2 linked regions of the Tribolium castaneum genome follow. The protein of the gene in region 1 purifies or fractionates together with the protein of each later gene. This does not show direct contact. Links are inferred from orthologs where the notes say so. Each region holds a gene or a part of one and is shown in the gene's direction. Other genes may lie near its edges. The genes, in order: woc and row.

Region 1 (3,927 bases):
TTCGAGCTATTTTTTAATAGCCCTCGTATTATTTTGACGCCACTCGGCCCGATAACATTTTTCCCCGATAAGAAGGTCGTCTTAATTGGATTACTCGATTTTAATTCATGAATGGTTTTAATTATGTAAGTGGATAGTCTCCATTCATTATCACTAAGTTAGGCCAAGGCTTCCAACTATATATATCGGGATAAACTTTGACAGGTGACGTCACGGTTATCAATAACCCGGCCTTGTGATTGGTCCAGCGCCGCCTCGTTAAAGTTACGGTGCAAATGAAGATCACCATAACTGGCAACCACAACCACAATAACTATTGTTCGTAGCCTAAAGGCTAGAACACAGCCGCGTTGAGAGTTCTAATTTAGTCTTTTTTCCAAATTGTGCGTTATTACACCGCACAAAAATAGAAAAGATAAACAAAAATCAAGCGCCTCTATTGTGACATTTATGACAGAACGCATCAAACTTTTTAATTAAAACGCTATTTCGGGCGCCGAGATCGGTCTATTTAAGCATCAGAAATGACGAAACCTCCTCGAGAGTCGAATTTTTCTCGAAGGACCACTATTTTAATAGTTGATATCCGCGCTGTATAGTTCGTGCCGAGGCGGTGAGATCAAAGAGGCGGCTTTTCGATTGAAGTCGGACAATTACTAACTGGCCTTGAATTAGAGAATCCCTCACACCTCCCTCGACCGCTGACCGGTCAACGCGCGCTCATTCTACTTCTAGCCGCGCTGCTCTAACCCACACCATTATATACCACGGCATGGCTCTTAATCGAGGTTAAATGACCATTGTCGCTCCTATAGACGACTAGACATCACAAAACATACGAATTGCCCTTTATCTATAAGAAAAGATCATAAATATAATATAGACCCAGAGCCCCATAGTCCACACCAGTGACATCTCTTAAATATCCTCCAAACTACCAGTCAAACTGTTGCAGTTTTTATCCATGGTTTATCTGTAAGCCAATATAACTCTTACGTAACGTGCTATAGGCAACTAGCAATACACACCCTAAACTGAGATTATAACTTATTAAATGTTGTCCAAAGAGCCGAAAACTAAACCATTGCTTATTTTTGTGCTTGACTGTGACCAAACGTTATAATAATGTAAAAATCGGCAAATTACTCCACCAGGTGACAATTGCCGCAAGGGCGGCGCCACGGTCGCCCTTTACACCGCTTGGCTAAAACCGAATTTGCGTTGTTCCTCGACTTATTTTAGTAAAAACAGCTAGGAACTGGCTGTTTTCGCATTTCTGTGCTAGAATTTTAGTTTGCCCGCCACGGGAGGGAAACCCCCGAGATTTGCTTCTTATGTATCTGGCGCGTGTCGGTTGGCAGCAATGTTGTTATTTCTCGAGCTGCCACCATTATTGTTAATACTTTCGTGAAAAAATGTTAGTTTGATTTTTAATTCCAGCAAATCGATGTAAATTTCTTTAAAAATGTAATATACTAAAGTCTGGATCGTTTTAACTATTAATTAAGTTGTTGGGTATAATTTGGCTGTAAATGTGATTAATTTTGAGGACGCCGGCGTTTGTTAAAGCTAGTGTAGAAGTGTGGTGTATTTAATTATTTGCGGATTGTTTAAATAGTAAACAACCGTGTTAGTTTAAGTTTCTTCCCCTTTGGTTTTTAAGTCGTTTTTAATCATGAACGTCAGTGTAAGTGCACGAGGGGGTGGCTAACTCTGTGGCTAATCTCTTGGTTGTAGGACATTTTTGAGGAGATTGTCCCGAAATGTAGCGAGGAGGCAGAGCCGCCAGCTGACCCGGAAATTGTTGATTCCACTCAGACTAATCCAAGTGATGATAACTCCAAAGAAACCCCAGACGATGCACCTACAAACCCAGAACTCTTTGACACCCTTATGGACACTTCTGATCAAACTCCGGTTGAGAAAGACGATAATAATGACAAATTGGACTCAACGTCAGCTCCGCTCAGTTGTCAAACTCCTGAAGATAATACTATACCTGAAGTCATTGAATCGGATAATTTAGATAGCTGTGATAAGTTGGAAGACGAAGCGAATAAAATCGGAGAAATGACAGCGGACGTGATCAAAGAAATTGAAAAAATTAACGAAAAAATGGATATCGATAACCCAGACGAAAGCACTGTTATTGAAGAAGAGAATAAAGACGCCAATACGAGTGAAGAGAGCGAGAAGACGTTTGAAGAAGAGGAGCCCAAAGACGACACAGTTCACGAGGAATCTCAAGACAAGCAAAGTGAAGACGAGGCTGACAAAACTGTAGAAAATGAGGAGCCGCGCGAAGAATACGAGTATGTGGGACTGGATGAGCAGCCAGTCCTTGACAAAAGCAACACTGAAGACAAAGGCACGGTATCACCCAAATCGTAGTTATGTTATCACATTGAACTCATTTCAGACAATGAAAACGCGGAAGGAAACACCGAAAATGAAGACGACGAGCAGAGAGACAACCCCTTATTCGTCAACATTGATAAAGAAGACAACGATAAAGAGACAAACAACAAGGATGAGTTGCTGGAGGAAGACCCCATCGCGTCCGATGGCTTCATTCCAGAAAATCAGGAAGGGGCCGATGAGGAGCTGTGCATAATCCCCGACACTGAACGAGTCATATCACAGGTAAATACTACCCCGTGTCAAAAATTGTCTCATTTGGGCAAAACAGGAGGAGAAAGAAGCAGCTTTCTCGATCCCGCCCTTAAGAGACATATCAGAAGCGAGCTCTTCTAACGAAGTTCCCGAGGATGGCGCCACTCCTGAGCCGCCGGCAGCATCCACCGACGCGTCTTCCTCCACCAATAAGTTTAAAATATCAAAGTGCAGCAATGAGGAGCTCCAGACTTGTCTTCAATGTGTTTTGGTAAGTGAAAAATAATAATGTCAGGCGGTAAACCAGTTTTGTAGAAACGCAAAGTCAAATACACCGTTACTAAAGACGACGACGTCCAGTATATTTGCCACGACACTTGCTTAGACAATTTCAAAGTAGACAACGCGAATAATTACGTGTTGACATGGGAGGGCGAGATCCGCGTGAAAGACTTGGCGACTAATCGAGAGCCTCCTAAGTTGTCCTTTGAGCGCAAGTGCGTCGTTTGTAAAAAGAAAACCGACGATGAGGAGAACAATTTGACTTGGGAAATCATGGATTTTTGTAACGAGTTTTGTCTATGTATGTCTGTGCCAGCGTTGTGTTTTGTGTTGACGGTGTTTTTCCGCAGCTAAGTACCAAAAGGAAATCGGGTCGAGTTGCGCGAGTTGTAACGCCGAAGTTCGGCCGAATTCTCTCGGGAAATATTGCGTTCGTTTCGGCAATGACATTAGGCAGTTTTGCTCAAGTCACTGCCTTGAGGAGTATAAAAAGGGCCTGAAGGTCTGCTCCTACTGCCAGCAAGACATGTCGACGGAAACGGACGGCTTTCTAGCCCCCGTGGGCGACAAAGGCCAGTTTAAAGATTTCTGTTCGCAAAAATGTATGGAAAAGTACGACATTATGACCAATAATAGGCCACCCACAGTCGACGAGGGCACCAAGTGTTCGGTCTGCAAAACTGACAATCCGATCACGATTGAATATGAGACTGATGGAGCGCCGAATTATTTTTGTAGCGATAGGTGTTTTGTCGCTTTCAGTTTCGTTAACAATATCGCGCCGGGGAAATGTTCCATGTGCCGCAGATACTTCCCTAATGAAATTCTAGAAAAAAATACCATGTTTTATGATAATGTTCAGTATAGTTTTTGCTCGAATAGCTGTCAGAATATTTACATAATAGCACATCGGAAAATAGTCCCCTGTGCGTGGTGCAAAGTCAAAAAATATAATTTTGATATGATTCGGAGGTACTTCAAGACAGGGCCTGTACTAAACATGTGCAGCATAAATTGTCTCAGCTTGTTCCA
Region 2 (3,927 bases), on another chromosome or scaffold:
AATCTCTACGTTAAAGGTATGTACACTTGGCTGCGCTCCGTATGTACAGTTGCAATATATTCCCATATTAAACAATTGGGTGGGCCGGGGGTTAAAGTTCAAATCGGGGTGATAAGTCTCGGGACAACGTCCCAAGATGGTAACAAGCGAGAGGTCAAAGTGGAAGTATTGGGAATTCTGGAAACCACCACCAGACATATACGACTGCGAGCGGTGGAACCGCTAAGCGAACTTGAGCGTAATTACAAGAAACGGTTCTCAAAAATCCTTGAGCCGGTGTTCAACTGGGTGCACCCGCAAAGTATCATTGTAACAGATCTGACAGTTGACAAAAACACACTGCATCAACTGGGTTTCCTCCACGTCCAACAAAACACATCCAACGATTATGCGAACAGCAACCGTACTATAATGGAGTACCTGCGACGCATCGTCCCCCGAATGTTCCAAAATACGTTATCTCTTCTTTCCCGACCCATAATCCAGCAATTCCTCGACGAATTGGTCTGGAGGGAGTGGTACGGTACCACCGTTTTGCAATGTTTCGACAATATGGTCAAACATATCTCGGAACAGACTCGGTTCGACTCGGGTTCGTCCCTCATTAACCGGTTGAACAAAGTCAGCGCAAACCCATTCAAAAACTGGTCGATTACGACCTACACCACTTCCACTCCTTCGAAACCGGTGGAACCCGCTCCAAAGCGCTACAGCCGCTTGCGCAAACCGCAACCCTCTGCACCTGCACCACCTCCGGTACAGGAGGTAGTAAGGCCTAGTAAATCTCATTCGCCGGATGTACCTGAGCAGATGGTACCTCTTGAAAATTACTACTACGGTACCATTTCTCCGACTACGCCCTCCAAGAATAATACCATGATTAATATTAAGTGCCCCTTCTGTAAATTGACGTTTAATACGAACATCTCCCTCATGAACCACTTATTCAAACATGCGCATAACGTGTCGAATGACGTCCAATTGTGCAAGTACTGTCTGACGATAGTACCATCAGCCAATGATCTGCTCAAGCATATTAACACCGCGCATCCTGACGAAACCAAGTTTGACAACGGATTCGTGTGTTTGATTTGCGAATCCCACTTTCGGAATCCGTTCATACTAGGAAAACACTTGTCAAGGGAACACAACCCGTCGGAACTACCCTATTTGTGCGGTACTTGCGGGTTCCGGTGTTCTAATCATAAGCAAGCCGTGGATCACTTCTACCAACAGCACGACCGCGGAACGACGATTCAGTGTCCGTTCTGTCTTAAATCGACGACGATTTACTCGGGAGGGAGGAACATATCGCAAAATATGAACTACTTCATCCAACATTTACAAAAACATCAGAAAAAACAGCTGGCGAAACGGTGCGGAAAGTGCACGCTTTGGTTCATCCAAAAAGAGTTTCTTAAAGACCATCAGATCAAAATGCACGCTTCGCAGAGAGGCAAACCAGGACTGGTACCAGCGTTTGCACCGAGAAACGGCGTCATGGTGCCCAAATCCAAGATGGACAAGTGGCCAGATGATGCCAAAGTGATCAATTTCTCGACCCTTTATTTCAACGTTAACAAGAATCTTAATTGTAAAGAGTGCGGACAATCGTTAAGTTCACCGAAACACTTCGCGTAAGTTTTTTCTTTTGTTTTACGAAATTGTCTAATTTTTCAATTGTAGGTCATTTGATAGTTGTCAGAATCCAAACTGCCAGTTTTCGACATGTTGCACCACAGCCATGCAAAACCACGTGGCTAAATGTAAATTCCTCAATTCGAAACTACCGGCCGAGAAGCTCCCCTATGAGATGTTTTGTATTTGTGGCTACAGCGATACCGATGGTAATTAATTTTTGTCTAGTTGGTAAAACCGTTAATTTGTCTGTCGTAGGTAACATGTTGGCTAAACATTTGGCAATTTGCGAGCGCAAATCGGCGTATCCATCTCAGGAGGCTGCGAAAGAGGCCACCGTCACTCATAGTATGCTTGATGTTTTGGGTTTGGTGCGGAAACCAGAAGAGGCGACGTCGAGTAAAGATGATCTGCCCCGACTTATACCGACAAGATCTGAACCGATTATTTTGAAACGCGGCAGGCCTAGGAAACATCCGGTACCACCAAAAGAAGTCATTGAAGTAAAAGATGACGAAGAGCCCTTGAGTATTAGTGAGGTCAGGGGAGGGGTTAAAATTGAAGGAGAGAAACATGGTATGACTGAAATTGAAGAAATTAAAGAAAGTGAAAATAAGGATGTCTCGGAGAAACAAAAGGAAGTCCAAGAGGATAAGAGTCAAGTTGGACAGGAAGACCATCAAGAGAAAGGTACTGAAGAAGAAACAAGTGAAGTCGTTGATAAGGAACAAGAAGACCATCCTGAGAAAGAGATTGAAGAAGAAGCAAGTGAAGTCGGTGGTAAGGGACAAGAAGAAGATCAAGGGAAAGAGATTGAAGAAGAAACAAGTGAAGTGGTTGATAAGGGACAAGAAGACCAACAAGAAAAAGAGATTGCAGAAGAAACAAGTGAAGTGGTTGATAAGGAACAAGAAGATCAACAAGAGAAAAATATTGAAAAAGAAACAAGTGAAATCGTTAAGGCACCAGAAGACCAAGAAGAGAAAAATGTTGAAGAAGAAACAAGTGAAGTTATTGATAAAGTACAAGAAGACCCTCACGAGGAAGAAGAAAAAACAAATGACATTGTTGATAAGGGTCAAGAAGATCATAGAAATGAGGAAGTTGAAGAAACGACGAGTGGAATTAAGGAACAAGAAGACGTTCAACAAAAAGAAGCTGAAGATGACAGTGGAATTGTTGATAATAAATCGGAAAATGATGAAGTAAAGTGTGTGGAAGAAGAGGAAATAAAAGAACACAGTGCAGAAGCACGAGACAACGAATCTGTTAGTGAAAATACAAAAGACGTAAATGAATTACAGTCTGAGACAGTTGAAAGTGAAAGTATGGAAGTTGACAGTTGTAATGCCAGCGAAACAGTCGAAACGGTGGCAATAGGAAATCAAATGGAAAAAAACTCTGAAACTATTGATGATATCTGTCCTATGGATACAGACTAAAACCTAGAGAGTATATTACGTTTGTAAATAAGATGTTATTGTTCAAGACTGTAAAAAGTAATTGTTGCGAACATAGTTAATTAGTGTTTGCGTTTCTTTCAAACTCGTTTTTCTTTTACAAAAGCAGATTTTTTATATGCTTATCACGTCTGTTCTGTAAGGTTCTATTGAATATTATATTTGTAATACTTTTAAATAAAAAAATCCTCCTTGAGTTTAATATTTATTTTTTATTTTTAATACAACAATCACACTAATAAATACAACTGACCCAAAACTATCACGTAATTCGGAGACAATTTTCAATTTCGACCTGCTATTCACGAAAAAAAAAGCGATTTTAAAACACCTACAAAAATAGCATAATCTGTTTTATTTATATTCGATAGGATAAAATAAACCATAACCATACTCGTAATGTTACCTGCGTTTTACGTCATTCGATAGTTAAAAAAAACTCGCTCTTAACGTAAATTATTATTCTACTTGACTCTTTATCTCCCTCCACGCGAACACCACATCTTTTTCTTCCGTAAATCTACTACAAATTACAAACCTAATAACCAATCGACTTTGATAATAATACGGCATCACGAAAATATTCTTCCGTTTCGCCAGCCTATCTAACAATTCTTTCGTCCGTCCATCCTCACCCTTTAATCTAAAACAAACCAACCCCATACTGGCCGTACACACCTCAAACCTCTGATCACTTTCAACCAAACATTGGAAAAATTTTGCCAAAGCGATTTGCCCCCTGATATGGGTCCGTATCCCCTCAACCCCGTAAATTCTCAACACAAACCAGAGCTTCAACGCCCGAAATCGGCGAGAATCCGGAATTTGG

The links.
Region 2: the proteins of woc (region 1) and row purify together in Drosophila melanogaster (affinity purification with western blotting; 3 studies listed by BioGRID, with this or other methods). This does not show direct contact. The link is inferred for Tribolium castaneum from reciprocal best matches to the Drosophila melanogaster genes woc and row.

What each region holds. Positions count from the first base shown.
Region 1 is NC_087403.1:1,791,063-1,794,989, forward strand, and holds the start of woc (zinc finger MYM-type protein 3), read left to right. Parts: upstream 1-1,179; 5' UTR 1,180-1,675; coding exon 1,676-1,687; intron 1,688-1,737; coding exon 1,738-2,368; intron 2,369-2,419; coding exon 2,420-2,643; intron 2,644-2,689; coding exon 2,690-2,884; intron 2,885-2,928; coding exon 2,929-3,196; intron 3,197-3,245; coding exon 3,246-3,927.
Region 2 is NC_087398.1:5,518,290-5,522,216, reverse strand, and holds the end of row (uncharacterized protein row), read left to right. Parts: coding exon 1-1,637; intron 1,638-1,686; coding exon 1,687-1,847; intron 1,848-1,896; coding exon 1,897-3,080; 3' UTR 3,081-3,300; downstream 3,301-3,927. Other genes in the region: aromatic-L-amino-acid decarboxylase, read right to left, coding at 3,558-3,927.